Lepisosteus oculatus: one gene and its partners. The protein of the gene in region 2 purifies or fractionates together with the protein of the main gene of each other region. This does not show direct contact. Links are inferred from orthologs where the notes say so. Each region holds a gene or a part of one and is shown on either strand. Other genes may lie near its edges.

Region 1 (8,098 bases), on a different chromosome or scaffold from region 2:
CCCCAATGCAGCAGGTTTCATGCATGGTCATGAAATCATGATGTAACCTTAGGTCCTATTTGCGTTTTCTTCCGTTGAGGAGTTTGTAGTGTTTTTGAGTCGTGTGGAGTCCTTTGGTTCATTTGGTGGCTAGGTTTACGGTACTGTGACTCTGTGCCTTCTGATTAGTTATGGGGGGAGAACGTGACAAGGAAATGTGGAAATCAAAAAGTGAGAAAGGGAGAACAAGTGTGAAGATTATTCGTCTCCATCATGTTCTATTCTGTACCGGCAGAATGTTAACAACCATCACATGGACCCTACAGTTACAATTATTTCTAAAGTCTCTGAGCAGCTTCATTGTGAATAATTAAGCAGGAAGGGATTTGCTAAATTAATTTACTAATCACCTGTTGAAAAACAATTCTAAGTACCCCTCAGACCTCTGACAAACAAAATTCTCTTAATTGAACTGTATACTGTACGTGTTTATATGGCCAAGAATTAGTGGGCTTTCCCAAGCTTTAGAAACAGGTACTGTACAAAATCAACTGGATCGAAGCTCTTTGGGACCAAGGTTGGAGAGCATTGCTGTATAGTGACATTTCTAAGTGGTATTTAAAATTATATCCAAATATTTAAACCAGATGTGGTGATGTGATCAACTTTGTACTGTGTTAATACACAATACACAATATTTTGTTACCTGTATTGTGCATTAAAAATATATGCTGTAACTTATTTCCATTTCCAACACAATGAGCACACAAAAAATTAAATAATGTGCACAATGTTTTCTACATCTAAGGATGTTGTTTTTTTTTCAAGAAGTAAAATGTTTCCAGACCCAGATATACAGTATGCCTTTTTGTTTTGTCTATTTTGCTACTAGTGACAAAGCAGTTCTTAAACGTTAAGGTTCCTCCCAAAGTAACCTCAAACTAAACACACAAAGAAACAAGCTAGCCTCACTGTAAAACACCTGCATGGCATACGTGTTCATATGTGGTTAGATCAAAACGATAACACCTCATCTGTTGTGTGAAAACCCGAAACTTTTACTAGGACCGAAACGGCACAGAAAACCTACTTTTTTCTAAATAAAAAATTCTAAATAAATAGAAGAAGATTATATCTATTCTTTATAAATACCGTACCTGTATACACGGATATTTTAAGGGAAAAAATTGCAATAACGGTGTGTGTATAATTGTGTACACAATAATGACTTTGTGATTGTCTGTCTTCTGAAAGTGAGTGCACATTCATATCGCAATCTTTGTATTAGTCAGACAGACCTTAAAAACAAATCAGCAGCCAGAAGTGTATATTTCTGTTCAGCTAGATAGCAGAGAGCGTGTGAAATTAACGATGGGGGTCGGCATTTTCAACACCGCCGCAAAACTGCTGGTTGTAAGAGCCGTGAACCCTGGTCAACATAAATTGTAAAACATTGTCTGATGCACAAGATGTAAAATGATTAACATAAACAGAGGTCATTACACTGAACTACCAAGTGCAGAAATACTGACATCTGTTTGTATAATAGAAACTGTTGCATTCACGGATAGCACAAACAAAATTATATGATACCAGTAAACTTTATAAATAGTAACTGTATATAAAGTTATCCGTCGTCCTGTTTATTAAAACGTTTTCATTTGATCGATATGATTTTAAAGACATCTGACATTTTGAAATCAACACCACACCCTATAAAATCCGTTAAATAATATTTTTGCAAGACTTTCTTTTGGAATAAATAAATAAGAAACATTGAATAATAAGAAACGGAAAGATCAGCTGCACATGCAAGGAGGCAAAGTGCTTTTTTTTATATATACGGGTCACTATTCATTTTACATTCAGAAGTTTAATGTTTAAAAAATGAAGAGATTTATCTCTCAAGGCCAGAGACATAAAGATATAGCGGTTAAACTTGCTTCCTTTACGGAAAGTCCCTCTCTAAAACTATGCTGTTCAGCCAAAAGTCCCCAACATACCCCCCGAATTTCAATTGAAAAGCACTGTTTTTCATTGAAATGCTTTAAAACTGTTAGAAAAACATCACTGCAATGCCCAAGATATACCAAAAGAATTGACATGATGATCATTTACGGCATGTACGACTACTAAATATCACAGATTCTTCAGTTTTATTAGAACTGTCTCGGATTTTAACGTTATTTCACGTACCGGTAAAAAAAAACAGTTGAAGCATAAAGTCTGTAGTTTTTTTTTCATTACTTCAATTATATTTATAAATTATATCGATAATTCGTATACGTACTGTATGCAAGCAAAGGGGAAAGTACTGGTAAAAGTATAGGTCAATGCAATAAAAGTAGCATCTAGGCATATCCAGGAGGATTTGTGTTCTTAAAACAATGCGTCGTATTTCTGTTAGAAAGAAAGCGAAAATACAGCAAATTGTATTTGTTATTACGCCATAACGACACATCATCTGCATGGGTGGGAGAAGGTGGGAGTTGGGTCCTCTCTTGTGAGGTGACATCCCTAACACAACAACCAAGTCTCAATAGCGTCTACTTTTCTCCAGATTCTCAATCTAGCAGTAGTAGCGACTACATGCTGTACATAAACATAAAATAAAGCTGTAAATTGGACTGCGTGCAGAGAAATCGAAAGTAAAAACATTAACGTCATACTGCAGTGTCTCGCCTGACTGCCCCTGCCACCTAGACACTGGTGAGTGATTTTTAAAAAGAAAATAACAGATAGAAACCTAACGCGCTCCTGTACCAAGCATAACAGTAATAACACACTACAGTATATCGCATTTGCACTAGGAACCCAGACATATTTCAAAGTACATGAAAGTATGTCGTTTTTACAACATTTAAAATGGTCAAAACTCTAGCTCTACGAACTACTGTACATACTGTACATCGCTACGCCCAGGTACTTACCACCACGATGATATGGAAAATCTTCATTTCTGCACTGTTGTCTGGGTTGTTCTCAGTCGGGTACTGCACCGTACTGACTGCTCGATATGTGTCGACTGCGGTTGTCGAAGCTAGCTACATCAAAACCCCGACCTGCTCCAGCCAATCACTGTGCACGGGGGATTTCCAGAGTACTCTGCAAATTCTCACCAGACGTTGAGTATTTCCACTATAACAATTTTAATACAAATGCATAACATAACTTTTTCATAAAATACACATAGAGAGGCTAGGCCATTTGTTTCTATCAGTACTTGTAAACCTACACTATGTGCTGTACAGATATTATCTGAACAGTAAGTAAATAGATATCCAAATTGCAAATTGTCTGTTCTGGAAACAATAACATGATAGGATTAGGGGTTAATTCCTGTTCTTGCCACTTTTTGCCATTTGGTCATATTACATACTGTAAATGTATTTTGGGGACAGGGATATTAAGACTGTGAAGCTGCAGTCTGTATCTGGAATGGAGTCTGACATTGCAGACACTATGATACTGTAACCTGTTCTAATGCTTCTGTTTCTTTCCATCATTAATCTGCATGGTAATGTGAGTTGGGACAGATATCCTACTTGGAGCAATTAACTGTGTCAAATGCAAGTGACAGTAATTTTCCTTCCCACACTGCCAGCAGTATTGTCCATTGATCCAAATACCATCTCCAACAATTTTGGATTGACTGATATATTTTGTGCGAATGGCCATGCTTGACCGTGTGTGACCAGAAATGACAGGAAAAAGTTGAATCAATGGAAAAAAAAATAGAAACCCAGGAGATTCTGGTAACATCCCATGTGCTCGTTGCAGTGAATAATAATAAAAAAAAATCATTGAGTGCAGGTGAATATCTGCCTTCATGTTTTGTTATTGCCTACTATTGTCATTTTATTGAGAAAACATGTGACGTCTCGCTTAGGCTCATGAATGTGTTCTGCCAGATTGACTAGGATCCTGTACCTTTAAGTCTGGTTTGACCAATGCTGCACGGGGTTGCCCATAGGTTCCCACAGTACAGTATTTACCTTGTATTGACTACAGTATATGCAGAATGAGACGTCCTCTATCCTCTAACATTATATACAACTTTACATATTGTATATTAAGAGAAACTATAAGACTGGATATATGTACAATAGACTTCATCTAGTTGCAAGTATTGTAACTTGTTGCTGTTCGTAGTGACTGTCACCTGTTGCATTCTTATCTATACCCAGAAAAACACCTGAAATTTAACAAGAATCCTGTCCAGGAGTTCAATAGAAAGAAGGGGATTTAAGATGAGTAGCAATATTTTCTCATTTGGGAAATTCAGCAACACACTGTGATGGCATGTCTCACTCATTGTTCATTTGGCATCATAAATTTGTTAACCATGTCTGACTCTAAGATGGTAGTTTCACTTCAAGAAAATGGTTATAATTTTTCAGAGTAATGTCACATAAAACAGAATGGTCCCCCAAGTAGGACACTTTGAATGAATACAGTATATTATAGTCACTTATTGAAATGCATGTATCATATCACAAGTGAAAAAATATGCATTTCACTTGTCTGTCCTCTTTGGATACTGTACTATTGTAAATGAAGCATGCCACCACCTTCAGTTTTTCCTCCAAGCACTGAAAATCAAAAGCTACAAAACCTCAAGGGTAAAGACTTTAGACTTTGTGATAAGATATCACATCTTTGGTTGGTACTTAAACCTTAACATCTGAATAAGTGCAATGGAATTAGTGGACTACAACCAGAGTAGCCAAGCAGTAGGATTAACAGACCGAATGCCGCTGGAGATGAAGCCAGTTGATATCTTTTATGTTCACAAAACTCTGTGTTTGGTTATGGTACCTCTTTTCTAGAACTTGCAGAACTTACACAACGTTTTAAGGAGAAACAAATTCTTCTCCATACTTTTCCATTAGGCTTCAGACAACACCATAGCACAGCCCTGGTGAGGGTGTTGAATGATCTGCTTCAGATTCAGGAGTGTTGGCTGTTCTGGTGGACTTTTGTGCTGCCTTTGACACTGTTAATCATGAAATACTTCATAAAATAAAATAAATCATTTTAGACTTATGTTAGAATCTCTGGGGTAGCTCTTATTTGTTTTGGATCCAGGTTTCTGTTGAAAAGAAATTTGTGGCTCTGGGACTAATGGCATCTGACACCGATTTACTGAATCTTGGTGTTCCACAAAGCTTGGTTCTAGGGACTCTTCTCTTCACTTGGCCTGACCTCTACTGTGTTAACTTATATTTTTACACTGATAACTCTTAAATGTCCGTGCAGGCTAAGGCAGGCATGGATTGAGATAAGAATTCTCAATTCTGTTTTATAAGATATTGATAAAATGGGGGGTTACAAAAATGGTGAAAGTCAGGAATTGACCAAGCAGTAGCCAATAAGTAAAAGAATTGTTCATAACCGATTTTTCTAGAATACCCAAGCAGTTGGTATAATTAGAGGCACTTGAATTCTTTATTGTCTGGCACAGCTTTGTTGAAAAGAGTAATAATACAGGCACACTTGGTTAAACAAATATTTATTAATGATGACAATACAAACACTATACTACACACAACAAAACATATAAAACACAATTACTCTATGTATACAATATTTATAGACAAGGCATTTCAGAGGCCTAGCATTCTTATCACTCAGAAAACCCCCCAGACTTCTACTGAGTATGAAACTTTTAAATATTGCCTACAGAGGCCAAATAAGAGATAAGCTGCCTTCTAAATAAATGTAAAACAACTTGCAGTTAAATCTCTCTCTCTGCACCTGGATGCCACAAAATAAATGGGAGCTATTCTAAAAGCTCACTCACAAGCAGGAAAGACATCTCTAAGCAAGGTATCTTTTACCCAGGAAAGCCAAGTTCCCTAAAAACAGAGAATTGCAAACTCTCTCTAGCAGGGCTCAGATAATAAGCTCCAATCAGGTTTTTGTTTGGATGATCATGGAGTAGGGGCTTTCGCCTGGTGTAAGCTTCAAGTTCAAACTTCTCTCATGTGGTCTGACCTCCTTTCCTCACCTCTACTTTCTCCTTTTCTTGTTGTCTCTCCCTCTCTCTGTGGTCTTAATGTGATCTTATACAGTGTGTTTCTGGACTGCTCATTGATCATCATTAACCCACAACCTATTGTAGTTACCTACAGTAGGTACTGTATACCAATGTAAGGGAAAGCTTTGTTAGTATCACAATTAAAATAAAAATCACCTTCAATGTTCTGTTTACAATACAAGGGCTTCCCCCGGTTGCTTTTGTTTCCTCCCACAGTCCACAAACATGCTGGTACTGTATTTAATTGGCTTCTGTGAAAATTGACCCCAGTGTGATTGAGTGTCTGTGTCTATGTCTGTGTCTGTTGCTTGCCCAGATACTGCAGATTCTAGCTTCCCCTCAACCCTGTATTGGATAAAGTGGTTTGAAAATGAAGGGATGGACAAATTAGAGTCATTTTGAAGTCAAACATATTCTTTAATAGTAGGTTTATGCTTATTTATACTTTATGTTTATAAATTAATTTTCCTAAAAGAAAACATAATATCTGTCCATATATAAATCCATGATTCATAAGCTAGTCCATGATTGTGTTTAACTAACACAGAGAGTTGAAGTTGCTGCTACAAAATAAATAATTGTGTAGTGAATGAAGCAAACATTTGCTCAATGCTTCTTAATTATTTCTGAACAGAACATTTTCTGTTCAACTATGAATTAACAACAATCGGTTTAGTTTATCTATCTAATCTTGTAATGTCTTATCTTTCTCACCACAAACAGCCATCTAAATTCAATCTGTCTGACTGTGTACCTGTGCAGCTTTGATCTGCAGTTTATACCAGGACAGAAAATCCATCTACAGCTCGGATTGAATCAAACCTGATTTTGATCTAATCTACCCCCAAATTGCAAATCACAAACCAGGAACAGGATGACAAATGTTTCTTTGCCAGAGACTTTTTTTTCTTCTGGCTAAATGGAAACCCATCATCACAGGCTGGTTATTTTTTCAAATTACTGTAAAACATCTGTCTGTTGGGAGTTTATGAAAATCTCCAATTCACGTCATGCAGAGTCATTAAAGCCACGGGATATTGACCTTTTGACAACATTTGTGGGAAAAGCCGAGAGACTCTTTTTAGAACCACTTCTGTGTTTTCAATAATATTCCAGATTCTTCCTGTTTTATGTTACATATAACTCCTTCCCTTCTAACATATTATTCAGTGTGTCAAACTATTTGTCCTCCTTCCAACTAGTATGGTTGTATATGCAGTACTGTTGTATATAATATCAGGATATAAATAATACCAGTATATTACATATAATATATATAAACATACTGGTCAATATATCTGTATATTTAGACTTGATCATGTATTTGAATTAAGAATTGTTTAAAGACTATAAAACAGAGAATTCAGATTGGGGTGATGCAGTTAGCAAAACAAAACAGTATCACAGGGGTCTGTGTTAGGATCACTCTGTAATGCTGATACGGGTGTTACCAAAAACAGGTTAGAAAACACCACAAAATAAATGAGAAATAATCTTTTTCAGAGTTCAACACAGGGCACACCTCTGCCGGATGATATTTAATGCAGACAATTGAAGAGTCTTCATGTAGCAAAAACAAACTAGAAATACAGAAGAGGAAACAGTGATCTTGAAATTAGCAATGTGTGAAAAAAGTTTTTATGTTGACATACTATAGTTTTCATCTTCTAGACACTGTGTGAAAGCTATAAAATTGGCACGTAATATTATAATATGTAGTCAATTAGAATACTTTAAAGGGACTTTATGTTAAAATTGTGGAATGCCCTAGTGGAATGACCTCATTTTAATAAACGTTAAAGTTTAACCACCAAGTTACAAAAAAGATACAGTACAGCTGCTTTGGAATCAATCCAGAGTGGGTAAGGTATATTCCAGGTCTCAAAGGAATTTCCTATTTTGTCTAGCTAAAAGAAATCTTTATTGTCTCTAAAAGAGAAGTCTAGCAGTGACTTAATTAAAGGCACTGGGCTTATTGGACTTCCTTAGAATTAACAGTGAAACACAAACGAGAAGACACAAATGGAAACTATTTTTTTAAAAACTCATATCCTGATTTGTGCTTTTCTTAACTTTGAA
Region 2 (7,899 bases):
CTTTCGTTTGAAACTGTAATAACTTTCAGTTGCCTTTGGGTTGTCAGTTTCCTTGTAAAGGCTAAGATCTTCGTTTTTTGCCTGCGTTCAGTGGATCGCTGCTCCGCACTTTGTCACCATCACTTTGCCCAAACCTGCCTCTAGAGGAGACTGATGAGAACTCTGTATTTCTTCATTAAAACGTTTTTTTAACCGTTTGTACATTATTTTAACTCAATACCATGCGGTTACGTCTTTTAGAAGTTTTACATTCACAAGAAAGAAAAAGTTTAAATGCTCATGTTTTATTTTTAATTAAAACTCTCCTGAAACCGATGCCTTGTGAACTGTATGATGATTCGGTATGATATGAGGATTTTGATGATTGTCAGATAAGCCGATGATAGAAACCCAACAGAGAGTATGGTTAGATGATGAAAGGTACAGTATGTGTATACCTGGATCACACCAGACGCCAATCCCTTACAGGACACACACGTATTAACGTTCATTCATTTTCTAACTGCTCTGGCGGTAAACAACAGGCACAAGTCCATCACAGGACACACACACACACACGCCAGTTTTCCCAGAAGGCAATTAACCTAGCACTATGTTTTTGAACTGTGGGAGGAAACCTGAGCACCTGAAGGAAACCCACATGAACCTGGGGAGAACATACAAACTCCACACAGACAGGACCCCAGGAATTGAACCCAGAGCCCCAGAGCTGTCGGGCAGAAATACTGACCACTGAGCCACAGTGCAGCCCTCTCACACACATCAAAGAGAAGTGATTCAAGTGTGCCAGTTAAACTGTATAGGATGTATTTGAGCTGTGGAGACTTGAGTACCCAGAGGAGAAAAACAACTATAAGAATATGCAGTTATGAAACCCCCAAGCAGAAAGAACCAGATTTGAATCCAAAAGCTGTGAAATGACAGTACCAGACACAGTGCCACCACACCACCCTGCCTAAAACATCTCCTGTGATCAATGTTTACATTTTAGGTATCAACAGCTGCTATTGCCTGATGCTGATGAAGATTGCGAAGGATGGGGGGTACAAATATCTTGATTGCCATTCAAAGGGTCTATTACCCGTTACTGTTTTCAGTTGGATTACCAGGTTTGTTGGCGTTTTCGTTTGTTGTGTGATTGTTGTTTTTGGCCACGCAGGTGGCAGATGGCAGTATGAAAACAGACCCTGGGAATGTAATGATATTATAAAAACATGGTACTGTTGTTAATTGTTGTTATTGCCAGCAGTTAAATCACCCTGCACCTCACAGCTGGCAGCCCACTGAATCCCAGCAGGTGTGAGCCTGGTCAGTACCTGGAGGGGAGACTCCTGGGAAAGCTAAGGCTGCTGTTGGAAGTGGTGTTAGTGGGACCAGTAGGGGCGCTCACCTTAACGCTGTGTGCTGCCTTGATGCCACAGTAATAGTGATGGGGGACACCACACTAAAAAAAAGGGTGTAGGTGTGGGTCTGTGTGGGTCCTAATGCCCGAGTATAGTGACGGGGACACTATACTGTAAACAGGCGCCATCCTTCGGATGAGACGTAAAACCGAGGTCCTGACTCTCTGTGGTCATTAAAAATCCCAGGGCGTTTCTCGAAAAGAGTAGGGGTGTTACCCCGGTGTCCTGGCCAAATTTTCCATTGGCCTTTACCCATCATGGCCTCCTAATAACCCCCATCTCATTACTCTCCTCTCCTCCCCACTGAGAGCTGGTGTGTGGTGAGCGTTCTGGTGCACTATGGCTGCCGTCCCATCATCCAGGTGGGGCTGCACACTGGTGGGGGTGGAGGGGATCCCCATTACCTGTAAAGCGCTTTGAGTGGAGTGTCCAAAAAAGCGCTATATAAGCGTAAGGAATTCATAATTAATATTATTAAATGTGGAATTTTCTTCACACTTCTCACCTTGTAAGCCTCTGCTTCATGCAAAGCAGGACTAAGAAGCATTTTAATAAATCCTTTGTCCCCAAACCTTATTTAGCCAAAAAAAAAAGTCCTTTACTCTTCTTCAGAATATAAAAAAATGCTGCCAAAAGTGGACAAATCCTATAACTCACCTAAAGAAATGCATTTTGTCATCTACATTTACAGCATAACTGTAGCATTTATCTAGCAGGGAACGATACCACGTGAAAAAAAAAAAACAGGAGCTCCCACCTAACTCACCAAGTGCTGAGCAAAATGTCTGCTTTTTACTCTACAGCCAACCTCTTCACCTTCTACGTGATTAGGTTTCGCAAGTGTGGCATGTCCGAGACGGCCGCCATCTACCTGAGCTCGCTGGCCGTCGTGGACTCCTGCTACCTGGTGTGGGTGATCCTGCTGGACCTGACCTTGACCTTCGCGCAGGCGCAGCCCTTCTGGCACGCCCAGCCCTGGTGCAGGATCCTGACCTACCTGCAGCACGGCTCCCTGTACAGCTCCTCGTGGATCGTGGTGGGCTTCACCGTAGAGCGCTACCTTGCGCTCAGGATCACCGGCCTCAAGAGGCGCCTCTCTCGGTGCAGGGTCACGGTCTGCGTCACCCTGATGATCGTCGTCTTCTCCCACGTCGCATCGGTCCCAGTGTACTGGATCAACGACGTCAAGCCGACGAACCTCACCAGGGACGGCGAGAACGTCACCTTGCCCAGGTGCGGCTATAACAACACGGAGTATTCCACGGTGCTGGTCTGGATCACCACCTTCCTCTCTGGGGGAATCCCCATTCTCCTCGTCATCGTCTTTAACACTCTGATAGGACACCACCTCCGGAGGGCCAGCAAGATGTTCACCAAGGAGGAGAGGCGAGCCATCAAAGGGGCCAGCGCCAAGAGCATGGTCAGAAGAACCATCTTACTGCTCTGCACAGTGTCCATCACCTTTGTAGTCTTGAGTCTCCCGCGGTTTGTGACATATTGCATCTTAAGAACCACCTACAACTACCAAGGCTTCAACAGAGACGACTACAGCCTGCCCATCAATGTCATCAGTGACCTGGCCAACATGCTGCAGAATCTAAACTCCTCCACCAACTTCCTCTTGTACTGCATGGTGAGCAGGAGGTTCAGGCAGGAGCTGCTCGGCTTGCTGGCTCACAGGAGCAGAGCGAGGGAACTTGGGTCCCTCACCGCCCAGACAACCATGAAAGTGTTTTCTGTCATGGATCGTCCAGCCCACAATGCAAGGGTGGTGAACGTGGTTCTCACAAAACTGAAGCAAACTCAGTAGTTCACTGACAGCGTCTTGTAAAAGCTTTCAATATTTGTGAAACTGAGATTTTTCTAAGAGATGTCTGCATTCTTGTACTTGTTTTAACTTGCCTTTCAAAAGAAGTGATGGAGATTTCAAAGTAAATTACAAATGGCATACAGTGCTCTTTCTCCCCAAGTGCTGAATGTGCGCACAGTTCTGGAGCTCTGTTTGTGCGAGAGGCACACAGCACGACGGCACGACAGCACACACTCTGTAATCCATCCATCTTTCCACCCATTCCCGAACCGCATCGTCCCGTTCACGGTGGTGGGAGAGCACTCGGTGCTGGCGCCCCGGGCTGCCGTCTGTGTGACGCTTGTGTGCTCCCCCCGTCTTCACCTGGGGTTCCTCCCACACTCCCATGACATCAGATGAGGCCCGGGCCAGGTCACGCTGTGGGGCCCCCTCATGGTTTGGGAAGAGGGGGGAAAAATATTGGAATGTACAGAATAGTATGATGGGAGGATTAAGGCGGGCATTTTGGCACTCCTGAAGAAGGGTAGATTCAGCACTGAAAGGGGGATGTTTTTTTCACAGCCGTGGACTTTAGGCGAGAATCACAGCATGTGGTAAAAGTTCCTAATCGGACTCGAGTAGAGAAACACAGCCAAAGGGTTGAAGTGGGGGACCTCGCACCTTGAGGTGAGGCCCCCCTTTGAGGTCAGGCCTAGGTAGCTACACCCCAACAGCCCAGCACACACATCCACAGGGATTATTGCCTGTGTTGCGCTCCAGACACAGTCCTGACGCAGAATGCAGTCAGTAAAGCCAAAAACGTTGAAAGATTTTAATTTTCTGTCATGGTTTTCTTTTGAAAATATTTTTTTTCCCTGTCCTTGCACACTCAGTTTGGATTAGTCCATTCCAAAATCAATCCAGTTTACCACTGGAGCCACAGGACTGGGAATGGGAAGAACACAGAGACAAATATGTCCTCCTCCATCATGTGTACTTGTCAGAGTTCAGCCTCTTTTTTACTCTGTGAGCCTCAGTGATATCGACTGGTGGTCCATCTACAGTATGTGCCTTATTTACTGATTTAAATGTAATTACTTTTCTCTGGAGAGATGAGAACACGGAGGCATTCGTTTTTCATTCATGATACAATACGTCTTGAAAATGTGTTCACTGCAAAATGTTATTAGGAATACTCTTCTTTCGCATTCCTTATTACAGCATTTTGAAAGAGTAAAGATAGTATTCTGATGCCGCTAACAACTTAATCATTTCCTTAGTTAATAGTTTTTTTTTAATGGCCTAATCTCTTTTAGAAAACGACATTGCAAAAGCGAAAGGTTTACTGCTTTTAAAACTCCCAGACTAATCGTCAGTCTTTAAGAAAGCCAGGTGAATTGCAGGTGTTCCGCATTTTTAGTCTCACTACATGCCATTTTTCTTACAGACGAACTTTGTCATTAAACTTTTAACAAAACAAAGCTCCGATTATTTTTTTTTAACCTGCAGAAACGTTAACACCTCTCGCCTGCCTTTGTACGCTTCCCGACTTCGGAGCGAAATTCCTTCCGCTGCTGAAACTTTTTTTTCCGATGGGTGGACTCTACCTTTTAAACTTTTTGTGAAGAATTTGCATATTCGGAGTTATTGTTCTCCCTGATTTGCATTTAAAATTATTTCCTTGTGAAGAAAGAGCCGCGGGTTCCCAGCAGGACAGCTACCTGCGCGTTTCCTTCTACGCCCACAGTCAGTCCTCTGCCGCCGCTGTTGGGGAGGTAGGAATATTGATCTCCGGATGCTTTTAATACAAAACACTTTCCTGTATTGATTATTTTAAGCATTCAGACAGAAACCTGTTGTGTAAAAGAAAAGGCGAACTGGTGCAGTTAGTGCGATTAAGCTGAACGTGGGAATATATGTTCATTTTGACTTTGAAAGCCTTCTTGTCAGATCAGGATGAAAAAAGACAAGGAAATTCGGAAAAGTCCAGTCATCAACAGTAAATCAAAAAGCTGTTTTTTTTTTTTACTCAGTTCATGTTCAACTTTGTGGTAGTGTTTACCGTTAATTTTTTTTTGCAAATAGTGTTTAATCACTTAAATTAGCCAGCTCGTCGCTGAATGAGGTGGTAAGGTGGTTAATGACGAACTGGACCGGTGTTAAACATTGGTACTGTACATGAGTCAGTGTTTGGTGTTAATTTCAAGATGATCGCCAAGTTCCCTGCACTCATGCCTACTGTACATGTATGTACATGAGGGTGTAGATCCCTTTGACTTTTTTAGATGGTTTGATTTCTTTAAAAAAAAAACCCATCTGTTCAGTAATACAAATAATGAAATAAACTAGTTTCAAAACACTGTCACGTAGACGTACCTTCGCCTATTCTTTTAAAAACGTTTGTCCTTTTTTCTCAATTATTTGGATTGACCATACAAATAAGATATTGTTTATTATATCAAAATATATGGCAGGGTGGCTCAGCTGCTGGTAAAGATGCACAGTGTTGCACGGCATTGCAACCCAGAAATCTGATAATCTAAATTCAGATCGCTATTGCCTAAATTGTACTATTACTCGCTGCTTTTCGGGTGCTTATGTTTTACTGAGACACAAAAACATTTGTTCTCTCCAGTGGAGTGTAAACTGTTACTGTCTATATATGAACTGTGATCCCACAGGTCCGTTTGTATCACTGGTGTCTACCCTTTGCCCACGTAGGCTGGAAAGTCTTCGGTTTGCGCAAAAGCATAGTGTGACAAGTGGCTTTTCGAGGAAGTCTCCATCTTGGCTCAAAACCCAGGCCCTTTGGCGTAGCCCTGAGCCAAAATGGGGGCTTGCTTTCACTACCGCACACAAGGGTTGGAAAAAAAGTTCTGTGATGATCTCTCAGCTCTCTCTGATGCAGGTCACTGTATTTCTCTGTGTTCTTTTCGTCTCAGTAACATGAATGTGTTGTAGCCATCTTGCCTGATGTCTCTCTCTCAGTGCTGGAGACACTCTTTCAAGATGTACACTCTTCACCAACTTATACTGTACATATGTATCCCCTTAGCCTGCTGTAAATATGATGCCATAGTAACTAGTTTTAATTTTTGTTCAATTGACAGGGTAGTAGGCTCGTTCATTTATTTTCTTGTTCGAATCGTGTGCAATACATTCTTCTCTTCATCGTTTATCTTCTCAGCACAAGACGTTATGTAAGAAATTTCAGCTGGTTACAAGGACAATGGAGTCATTCATAGGTAAGATCCAAACGTATTTGACACAAGGCTTTACATTAAAAAAAGTGAACTAACAAGTTCATTTAATAAAACAATGCCGGTGATATTATTCAACGAGAATCATGTGGTTCTGTGATTTCTGCATCATTATAATCATGGAATTGTTATATGTTCTACTCTAGTCTAATATGATTTAATCATCAGTTCTGACACTTAGATTCTGAGTCAGAATTTGTCTTGAAAAGAAACTAGATTAGCTCTCCGAATAGACCTGTAGAAGTATTAGTTTGTTTGAGAAACAGGAAAGGAGCACGTTCCAGTGATAATGTTAACGTCCTGCAAAGAAGCAAGCAAAAGGTTCATTCCATACCGAAAAGAGAAGAAAGGAAACACAACGTTTCGCTGTGGAGCCTTCTTCGGGAAATTCTTTTCTTCTCTATTCTGCAGGGAACAAACCTTTACCTGTTCCCTTCCAGCCTACGCCTGCTGACGCAGCTCCCTACTGGAACTCTTTTTACACTCTGTCTTCCTTGTGTCTGAAAACAGAGCATAAATGTCAACAGATAAGTGACACTGGGATAAGTAGGGGGAGAGTACACTGTAAGACAAATTGTTTTTTTGCTTTGAAGGATTTCTTTCTCGGGGGTCAGACCCTAATTGTTTTGTTGTCTTTATCTGAAGACTTTCGTCCTCTCAGAAGCATTCCCGTGGAGACGGACGAGTCCATGGTATTCTTGGACGTGCTGGCGAAGTGTAAAGACCAGCCCTGTGGGACAGCGGGAGTCTGCTCTGGACAGCCGGAGGTGACGGTGAACGAAGTGGCACTGTGCAGGTCCGGTGTACAAGACAGCTTAAGTGGCAGAAACTATTTCCAGGAGAAGAAACACCAAACGGGCGCTTCTGAGGAGGATACAGGGCAGAGTCCTGGAAAAAGTCCCTTCCCAGCAGGCAGCTGGGCCGATTCGTCCCCAGAAATGCGCCGGTTCGAAATTACACAGGCGCCAAGAGGACCCGCAAAGCCGACCAATACCTGTTTACAGCAGCCGGGCTCTTCAGAAGTCGGGCCCTGCCCCGCCGTCAAGAGACGCCAGCTGCCCACAGAAAAGGACTTCGAGAGCGAAGTCGGTTCTGACTCCAGAGAGAGTGCCAGGCCGTCTCTGCTGAGCAGACAGCTGGACCTCCCCAGTGAAGACACCGGCTACGGGTCCCAGCCTCGGAAGGACATGGATGTCCAGCTGCAGGACCCCCCGCTGTCTCTGCGGTCAGACCTGGGCTGCCCTGTAGGCCCCGGGGTTGTGATAAACAGGGGTGAAGGATCTGGGCTCTGGCCCACAGCCCACAACAATCCACAGCAGCACCACCATTACCCAGCTCCTCAGCGTAAGTTAGACCTTGGATACTTCTGATCTTGACCTGATCTTGACCTGATCTTGACCTGATCTTGACCTGACCTCGCCTCACCTGACTTCGCCTCACCTGACCT
Region 3 (7,618 bases), about 60 Mb from region 2:
TCTATTCACTCTTTAGCTCATCTCCTGAGCGCTAGCAGAGCAGGCTAGCGTCGAGAGCGGACAAGCCGCAGTTGGTCCGAATGGTCTTTCCTCATTCCAGAAAGTTCCGGCTGTTTCCCAAAGCTACCACCTTCCAGGCAGAGCGGTCTCAAAAACGGCCCCATGGCAACCGGGCCGGGCAGGGGCCTGGCGCCACCCCTGCCTGAGCAAACACGGGCCGGGCGCGGGGTGATGTCAGCCAGCCGGGCTCCATGCAGCCCTCCCAGAACGGTGAGCCAGGGGCATGATGGGCAATCTCGGGAATCCCCCGGGAAAGGGAGCGGAGGAGGTGACGAGGAATGCGGGAGGGGGCCGAAGACAGCGGAGCTGTGTTTGTACCTTAGATATGTTTTGATAAGGAGAGGAGGTGGGGCCAGCGTGTGCGTGAGTTCACTGCTCATGTGTCCCCGCCGTTATCGCTGGCCAGCAGGAATGTGTTGGAGAGTGTTCACAGTCTGCCGCTCCGCAGCGTGGGAGCTGGAGTTATCGTCAGTGAACCCCTCAGCTAGAAACATCCTGTACCTCAAAAATTCTTACTGCAATTTGGGTAGTCCCGTCCACAGATCAACTCCTTCAGAGCCAGCTGAAAGGAACAGGGTTCACACAGATGCCTTTGGTTGTCTGGAAAAGGAAATAAAAATAACAGTAATGTGATTTATTTAAGCGTGACGCCACTTCTCCACTATGTCGCTTTGTATAGACGCTGCCTCAATGTACAAAAAACACAAGTTATCAATCTGTGTAATTGATCTAATCTAATTGATCAATCTGTATAATTTAAATGATCTGAGATCTCATCTGGCTGCTATTTGAAGGCTTCAACTACACAGTCTGGGTAGCTTGTTCCATACTTCTGCAACCCTTTGGGTAAAGAAGTGTCTCCTGCTCTAGGTTTTAAATGCCCTTGCACGTAGTTCAGTTTGTGCCCCCTGGGTGCTGTCTTACTGTCGATTTTGAAAAGTTATGTCTTTATTCAAAGGTTAGCAGAGTGATAGAAAGAAAAAATATCATGTTGTTCATTGTAAAGTGCCCTTAATGGACAAGAAGATGATACAAGCAGCCAGGAATCTCAAGTGTTTTTTTAAATGTGAGATAGTCTGTCATTTATCATTTCTTAGACAAGCGTGTATTCAGCCCCTACAGGGGCTCAGCCTGCTTAACCAACCACCTGCCTTCTTCCCAGCATTAGCTAAATCCTTATAGCTAACAAAGATAAACAACTTTAAGATACATTTTCATAATCGCTAAATCTATCTAAATGTCTAGCGGAACAATGGGCTTAGTAGAACAATCCCATGTTTTTACCTAAGAACATAAACTCACACAGACGGATCAGGTTAGAGAGGAGAGGCGACATATTTACGCTGTCCGCTCAAGAACTTTCAAATTCATTGAGCTTTATTGGCCTGACTGAGGAATTACAATGTTGTCAGAGGATTAATAATTAGCAGAACATTTACAGACATGTACAACTGCAGGATATTATAATTTGAGAGGCTCCTTCTCTGTTCCTTTGGCTGTGAGAGGAGATCACACACCAGGCTAAAGACTATGGCCAGGCTGTGGTCACTGAGCCTGTCCTCTCTGGGTGTCCAGGTCTGCCTGTGTCCAGTTTCTCTGGCCAGGCTGTGGTCACTGAGCCTGTCCTCTCTGGGTGTCCAGGTCTGCCTGTGTCCAGTTTCTATGGCCAGGCTGTGGTCACTGAGCCTGTCCTCTCTGGGTGTCCAGGTCTGCCTGTGTCCAGTTTCTATGGCCAGGCTGTGGTCACTGAGCCTGTCCTCTCTGGTTATCCAGGTCTGCCTGTGTCCAGTTCCTATGGCCAGGCTGTGGTCACTGAGCCTGTCCTCTCTGGTTATCCAGGTCTGCCTGTGTCCAGTTTCTATGGCCAGGCTGTGGTCACTGAGCCTGTCCTCTCTAGTTATCTAGGTCTGCCTGTGTCCAGTTCCTATGGCCAGGCTGTGGTCACTGAGCCTGTCCTCTCTGGTTATCCAGGTCTGCCTGTGTCCAGTTTCTATGGCCAGGCTGTGGTCATTGAGCCTGTCCTCTCTGGGTGTCCAGGTCTGCCTGTGTCCAGTTTCTATGGCCAGGCTGTGGTCACTGAGCCTGTCCTCTCTGGGTGTCGAGGTCTGCCTGTGTCCAGTTTCTATGGCCAGGCTGTGGTCACTGAGCTTGTACTTCATCAGGGTGGTTTGCTTCACCCTGTTGTTCATAACATGCTTGAGGTGCAACAAGCACATGTGTGTCTGATAATAGGTAATGCCGGCCCAGAGACATGGGATCATGAGAGGTCAGACTGGGGTCAGTTAGAGGAGTCACAGGTGTGAGAATTCAGTCTCCTCTCCAGCTCCCCAGTCGGTATGTGTGAGGGAAACAGCTGTGGATCCCAGGAATCTTGTGCCGAGCCCCTGTCAATGGGCTATCGGAACCAAATCTTCTGAGCTAATCGAAACGCAGCACTTGTCCCGCCACCCACTGGGCCACACAGCCTGCCGAGCAGCACCAGAGCACGGCCTGTCTCTGACTGTAATGTGGACCTGTGCTGTCTGCCTCCCCCGAACTGCGCACACACATCTCACTTCCTGGAACCGATTACACCTGCTCCTCCTTTCTGCCTGTCTGCCCCCACCCCCACTCCTCGGATTTCACAACCCCCCCCCAGTGTGGAGAAGAGACAGGGCACAGTTCCCACTGGCCTCACCCGCTCTCTCTCCCGGTCCTTCTCTGAGCTTCTCCGGACTAATGTATATATTACATTAATAGATAATTCATCATCATCTCAGGTTAATAAAAACCTCAGGTCGTGACAGGAAATCACATACTGGGCTGCAGCAAACAGAACTGAATTCTAAAGCAGTAGCTGATCTTTTTTGGCACCATGTTCTGGTGCTGTGCGGCCATTCTCAGCCACCCTTGTCCTAGTCTGAACTGTTGTTTCTTCGGATTGTGAGAGAACGCACCACTGCTGGTTCTCTCGAACGTCACACGTGTCTCCTGGACTGCCTCAACGGAGACCAGGTCATCTGCTGTTGCGGGACGGTCAGCCCTTCCTGTGACTGACCCAGCTGGGGGTCAGCAGCTCGGGAGGAGAGGAGGGACCGAGAGTGTGGGGCAGCTCTCCAGTCCATTGCTGGGCCGAGGGTAAAGCAACAACCTGACATTGCAGAGAGGGGCTCAGCCAGCACATCGTTGGGAGTTGGGAGGAAACCGGTGCACCTGGTGAAGTCCCAAGGGTGCACAGCGAGAACATGTAGACTCCCCTCAGACAGTCACCCTAGGCTAGAATCAGCGAGCAGCCGCAAAGACCAGGACAGCAAGACTGCACCCCAATTGCTGCTACTGTTATTATTATCATCAATTTCCCTACGGGATTAATAAAGTATTATCTATCTATTACTCTTATTGGATTTACCGCTAAGCAAAGCACAAACACAAAATCCATCCTGCCAAAAAATGTCAGATTGCACAAGGGTACAACAAGGGTAGAGCCGTGGGGTTTGCTGGCAGCTGGCTCCTCACCCTCTCTATTCCTTCCTGATCTTCTTCGTCTTCTTGGTGTTATCCCAGACTACTGACGGGATGTCCCGGCAGAGAATCCAAAGCCGCAGACCGGCACTCTATGGCACCACCGCCAGTAGACAGAAGGTGTTGGGCAAAATCCAGGTGACCATCCATTCGGATTCTCCCAGACATGTCCTCCTTTTTTGCCCCTTAAAACCCCACCCTGGTGGAATTTTCAAATGTCTTAAAAGTTTTTCCTTTAATCTTTTTCCCCACATTCTTTTAAAACGGTTCTCGTACAACAAATATCTACTGGAGACATCACCAGTACCCCCTTCTCCCAGCCCCCACACCCCCGTCCTCTTGAGAGAATATCCCAATCAGCTAACCCCGGATACACTTCTATAAATATTACCTGCACCCCCCCCTACGCCTCCTGTGTGTCCTTGTTCGGATGTGTGAAATATGGTGACTCTAGGCGAAACGGAAAGTCGCAGTTGGGGCGCGCTGAGGTACTGGGAGAGGTGAATTCCAGAATAACCGTTCACAGTCTTAGTCATGCAACTCATCGCACTTGACAGCGCAGAGGGCAACACAGCAGCCGAGCATGTGTCTGGAGGAACAGGTACAGTACGCTCCCATACTGAAGACACGGGGGACTTTGTGGACTAGGGTGGAAGGGTGAGGGATAAGACAGCGCAGGCACACTTGTCTGTATGGCCTCGCTGTAAATGTGAACGAGTGCTTTGAAACAAAACCAAAAAGACGAACAGTATCTGTGGTGTCAAGAGCTCCACAAGAGGCTGAGAACCGACAGTCACGCTACACCGCAATTCCCCCTCTTCAAACATAAAACACATAAAAGTGTCGACCTAGTTTCTACATGAAGAAAAAAAGTATTACAATGCGTCAAGAGCAGCTCGGTCACGATACACTAAAGCAGCTACTGGAAACGCGGCGGCAGTCTTCCTAGTGACGTCATCACGCGCCAGCGACCTCACCAACCACGTGACTGCCAGGAAGCTGCCTTTTCAGGAAGTGAGTCTGACAAACGGAGAAAGTTTGCAAACAACTTCTCTTCTTTTAAACGGATTTAAAGTTTGTAAGCTTGCATACATAATTTTATATCTCTGACCTTACCGTTATTCAGTTACTCGTAGACCACTGAAAAAAATCAACATTTTATACGTGGAGTTCAGCCACAGCTGGCAAAAAGAAATATAAAGATCTTTTTTTTAAGTTTTTTTTTTTACGATCATGCCTGTTCGTCATTTATTCAGGGATTTGTCTATGAGAAAATATCCACTGAGACTGGCGTGTTTGCGGCGTCGATTTTAACACCTTGACAGAAACACGTCTCCGTTATCGACGCAGGTAAGAGCTCGATATCGCCTGTGAAGCACATTCCCTCTCCCTGGTGGTGGCAGATCTCGACAGCCGATACAGAGCTGTTCCACTCCCTGTGGGGCCTTTTTCTGTCTCACCTGCTCGGAGCAGGTAGCACCAGTACTCTAATAATAATAATAAAAAATATGTGAGAATCTTACAGTATTTCTTTCCTAGTCTGAACGTGACCTCACTGCCTGTGGGTGTATATATTTACAGTATATCACCTCTCTTGCACTGTCTGTGTGACACCCTGTTTCCTGCAGTGTGAGCACTGTGAGTGCTCCTAGCGTCAGCGGCCATAGTGTCCAGGACTGTAGTCCCTAGCGGCCACAGAGCCTGCTGGTGTGCACTCTTCGCACGTGTTCCGAATGAGTGCATCCAATCCGTTGAGTGACCCTTTCCCAGGTTCATGACACGGATGTGAGATCGTCGTTAGAGAGGTCAGAACAGCATAACCAGAGCTCATTTGGTTTTTAACCCACTATGGCAACACAGTCCCCTAGAAGTCCTGCCTGCCCTGAATTCTGCAGGGAAAGGGAATGTGAATACAGATACGGGGTGATGTAAATGGTGAACTAGCACAAGGATCTGTACTGGGACCACGGCTCTTCCTAATACTGTATTGATCAGTGATTCTGATGTGGGTCGTCAACTAGTCAACATTGCAGATGCTACTAAATTAGGATGATTGTCAATCACTGAAGAAACTGCAAATGGAAAATAAAAACATTAAGATACATTTCAAAACTGGGCAAACACTTGGTGGGAATGTTTAATGGAGACAGATGCAGGATTATGCAGGTGGAAAAAAACACTCTTTAAATGCAAAAGGGCAATCGCTGAGTTAGAGGAGACTACTGATAAAATAGACTCATGTAAATAATGTGCCAACAGAAACACCTCTCTAGTCAGTGTGGGGCAGCAAAATGCCAGAATATAAAATTTACAAACATAGAATTTAAATGAAGGGATCTTATTTTACAGCTGTGGAATACACAAGTAAGACCCTATTTAGAATATTGTGTGCAGTTATGGTCACTACATTAGAGAAAAGCTATTGGTACTCTGGAATCAGGCCGAGGAAATTTCTTCTGAATGGAAAGCAAAAGATGAACTATTGGATATAAGGAAAAAAAACAGCTGGAACCTGTGTTTCAGACCGAGAACAAGAGGCACTTTTTTGCCCAAAGAGATGTGGGAGTGTGGAACAAGTTACCCAGCCGTGTGGTTGAAGCCGCTGTCCTGGCTTCTTTCGAGACAGCTGGAGGAGATCCTCCAGTCAGGACAGGAGGCACTACTTTAGACAAAGGGTGGTGGGAGTGGGGAACATGGTATCAGCTGTGTGATTGAAGTCTATATCCCGGCTTCTACCAAGAACTCTACAGCTGGATGAGACCTCCGGATCATTTAACTAGCTACCGAAGGAGCTAGATCAGGCCTCCTCCCATTTCTCATTTGCTCTTGACCGCCTTTTGGTTCATCACCGTTCACTGCCATCGGGGGGAATGAGCTAATGCCTGTAACTGAAGGCATTTAGAGGGGTGGAGTGTAACAGAGCTCCTTTGTGTTTTGAGTTATGGTGATGAATCCCCTGTGATCCTCCATAGTCTTGGATTCTCCGGCTCTAGGAAGGAGAGAGGGCGCCTAAATGATGGTGATCCCAGCAGGGGACGAGCTGCACCCACCACACACGTTCAAAGATTGCTCCTTTGTTTTGCTAACAATGATTTAGAAGCTCATTTATACAGCAGGACCTTTACCAGAGCCATTCAAAATATGGCCGCAGTGTCCCACTAGGCATTCAAACCCGCAGCCCCACACTTTGTCGGCTAGTTTTTCTGTGTTTTTGTACCCGTTTTTGTCAATGAAGGGGTTAGTCAAGAGCTGCCATGCTGGCTTATATGCCATGCTGGTTGGTGAGCTGGGAATGGTGGGAACTTGACACCTTGTGTAGCCAGATCAGTGCTCTCCTAAGTGAGAGATTCCGCTGCCATACGTACTGGTGCAGGAGCTGTAATATGTATAATGCCACATGAACACTTTGTAAAGCTTACCCAGTTCAGGCTAACAGTAGTCCAGAGCCTATCCCAGGAAGCATTGGGTGTGAGGCAGGATACACTCTGGACAGGACAAGCTCAACAGTGAAGCATTAACTGGCACTCCCTTGAGACTAAAACAGTGTATCTGAGAGGCCCTGTGGTTTTCCACCTGGTACTGGAGGAAGCATGTTCAGAATCACTCAGGGTAAATACCTGCACTCGCTGCTGCTTTACAGCACATCAGAAAGGTCGCAGGCAGTCGGAGGGCCATGTGGCCCCATCTCTGCTTGCTGGGTCGGCACAGGCCTGTCATCCCAGCAACCCCGTCAGCTTCTGCAGCATGGCTGGCTGGCTCGTTTACCTGCTGCGTGTGTGGAGGAGCTGTGGGCGTCATGTCCCGTGTGCCCTGTGTTTTCAGCAGCTCTTCCAGTGAAGGCGCACAGATGTATCCAGTTTGGAATGAGCTCGTCTCACCTGTGACCCCCTCCAGGTGCTTCACACGGGCCTGCAGCCCCGACAGCCCTGGGCTACGCTGGTTATCGACTGGTCCAGGGTTCACCTGTCGGTGCATGGGGGGGGGACCCCACTAGGGACTAATCCTGACTGGGGGCTCACAGCATTGTGAATGGAAGTAAAACAGAGCAGATGCATAG

The links.
Region 1: the proteins of traf3ip2a (region 2) and cd40 purify together in Homo sapiens (affinity purification with western blotting, with the first as the bait; 3 studies listed by BioGRID). This does not show direct contact. The link is inferred for Lepisosteus oculatus from reciprocal best matches to the Homo sapiens genes TRAF3IP2 and CD40.
Region 3: the proteins of traf3ip2a (region 2) and ikbkb purify together in Homo sapiens (affinity purification with western blotting; 3 studies listed by BioGRID, with this or other methods). This does not show direct contact. The link is inferred for Lepisosteus oculatus from reciprocal best matches to the Homo sapiens genes TRAF3IP2 and IKBKB.

Annotation. Positions count from the first base shown.
Region 1 is NC_090711.1:10,843,795-10,851,892, forward strand, and holds the start of cd40 (tumor necrosis factor receptor superfamily member 5), read right to left. Parts: upstream 3,022-8,098; 5' UTR 2,937-3,021; coding exon 2,910-2,936; intron 1-2,909.
Region 2 is NC_090697.1:5,434,928-5,442,826, reverse strand, and holds the start of traf3ip2a (E3 ubiquitin ligase TRAF3IP2), read left to right. Parts: upstream 1-4,893; 5' UTR 4,894-4,967; intron 4,968-6,379; 5' UTR 6,380-6,421; coding exon 6,422-6,437; intron 6,438-7,097; coding exon 7,098-7,796; intron 7,797-7,899. Other genes in the region: probable G-protein coupled receptor 139, read left to right, coding at 1,037-1,109, 2,207-3,213. UniProt on the Homo sapiens protein: E3 ubiquitin ligase that catalyzes 'Lys-63'-linked polyubiquitination of target protein, enhancing protein-protein interaction and cell signaling. Transfers ubiquitin from E2 ubiquitin-conjugating enzyme UBE2V1-UBE2N to substrate protein.
Region 3 is NC_090697.1:65,873,213-65,880,830, reverse strand, and holds the start of ikbkb (inhibitor of nuclear factor kappa-B kinase subunit beta), read left to right. Parts: upstream 1-4,581; 5' UTR 4,582-4,911; intron 4,912-7,618.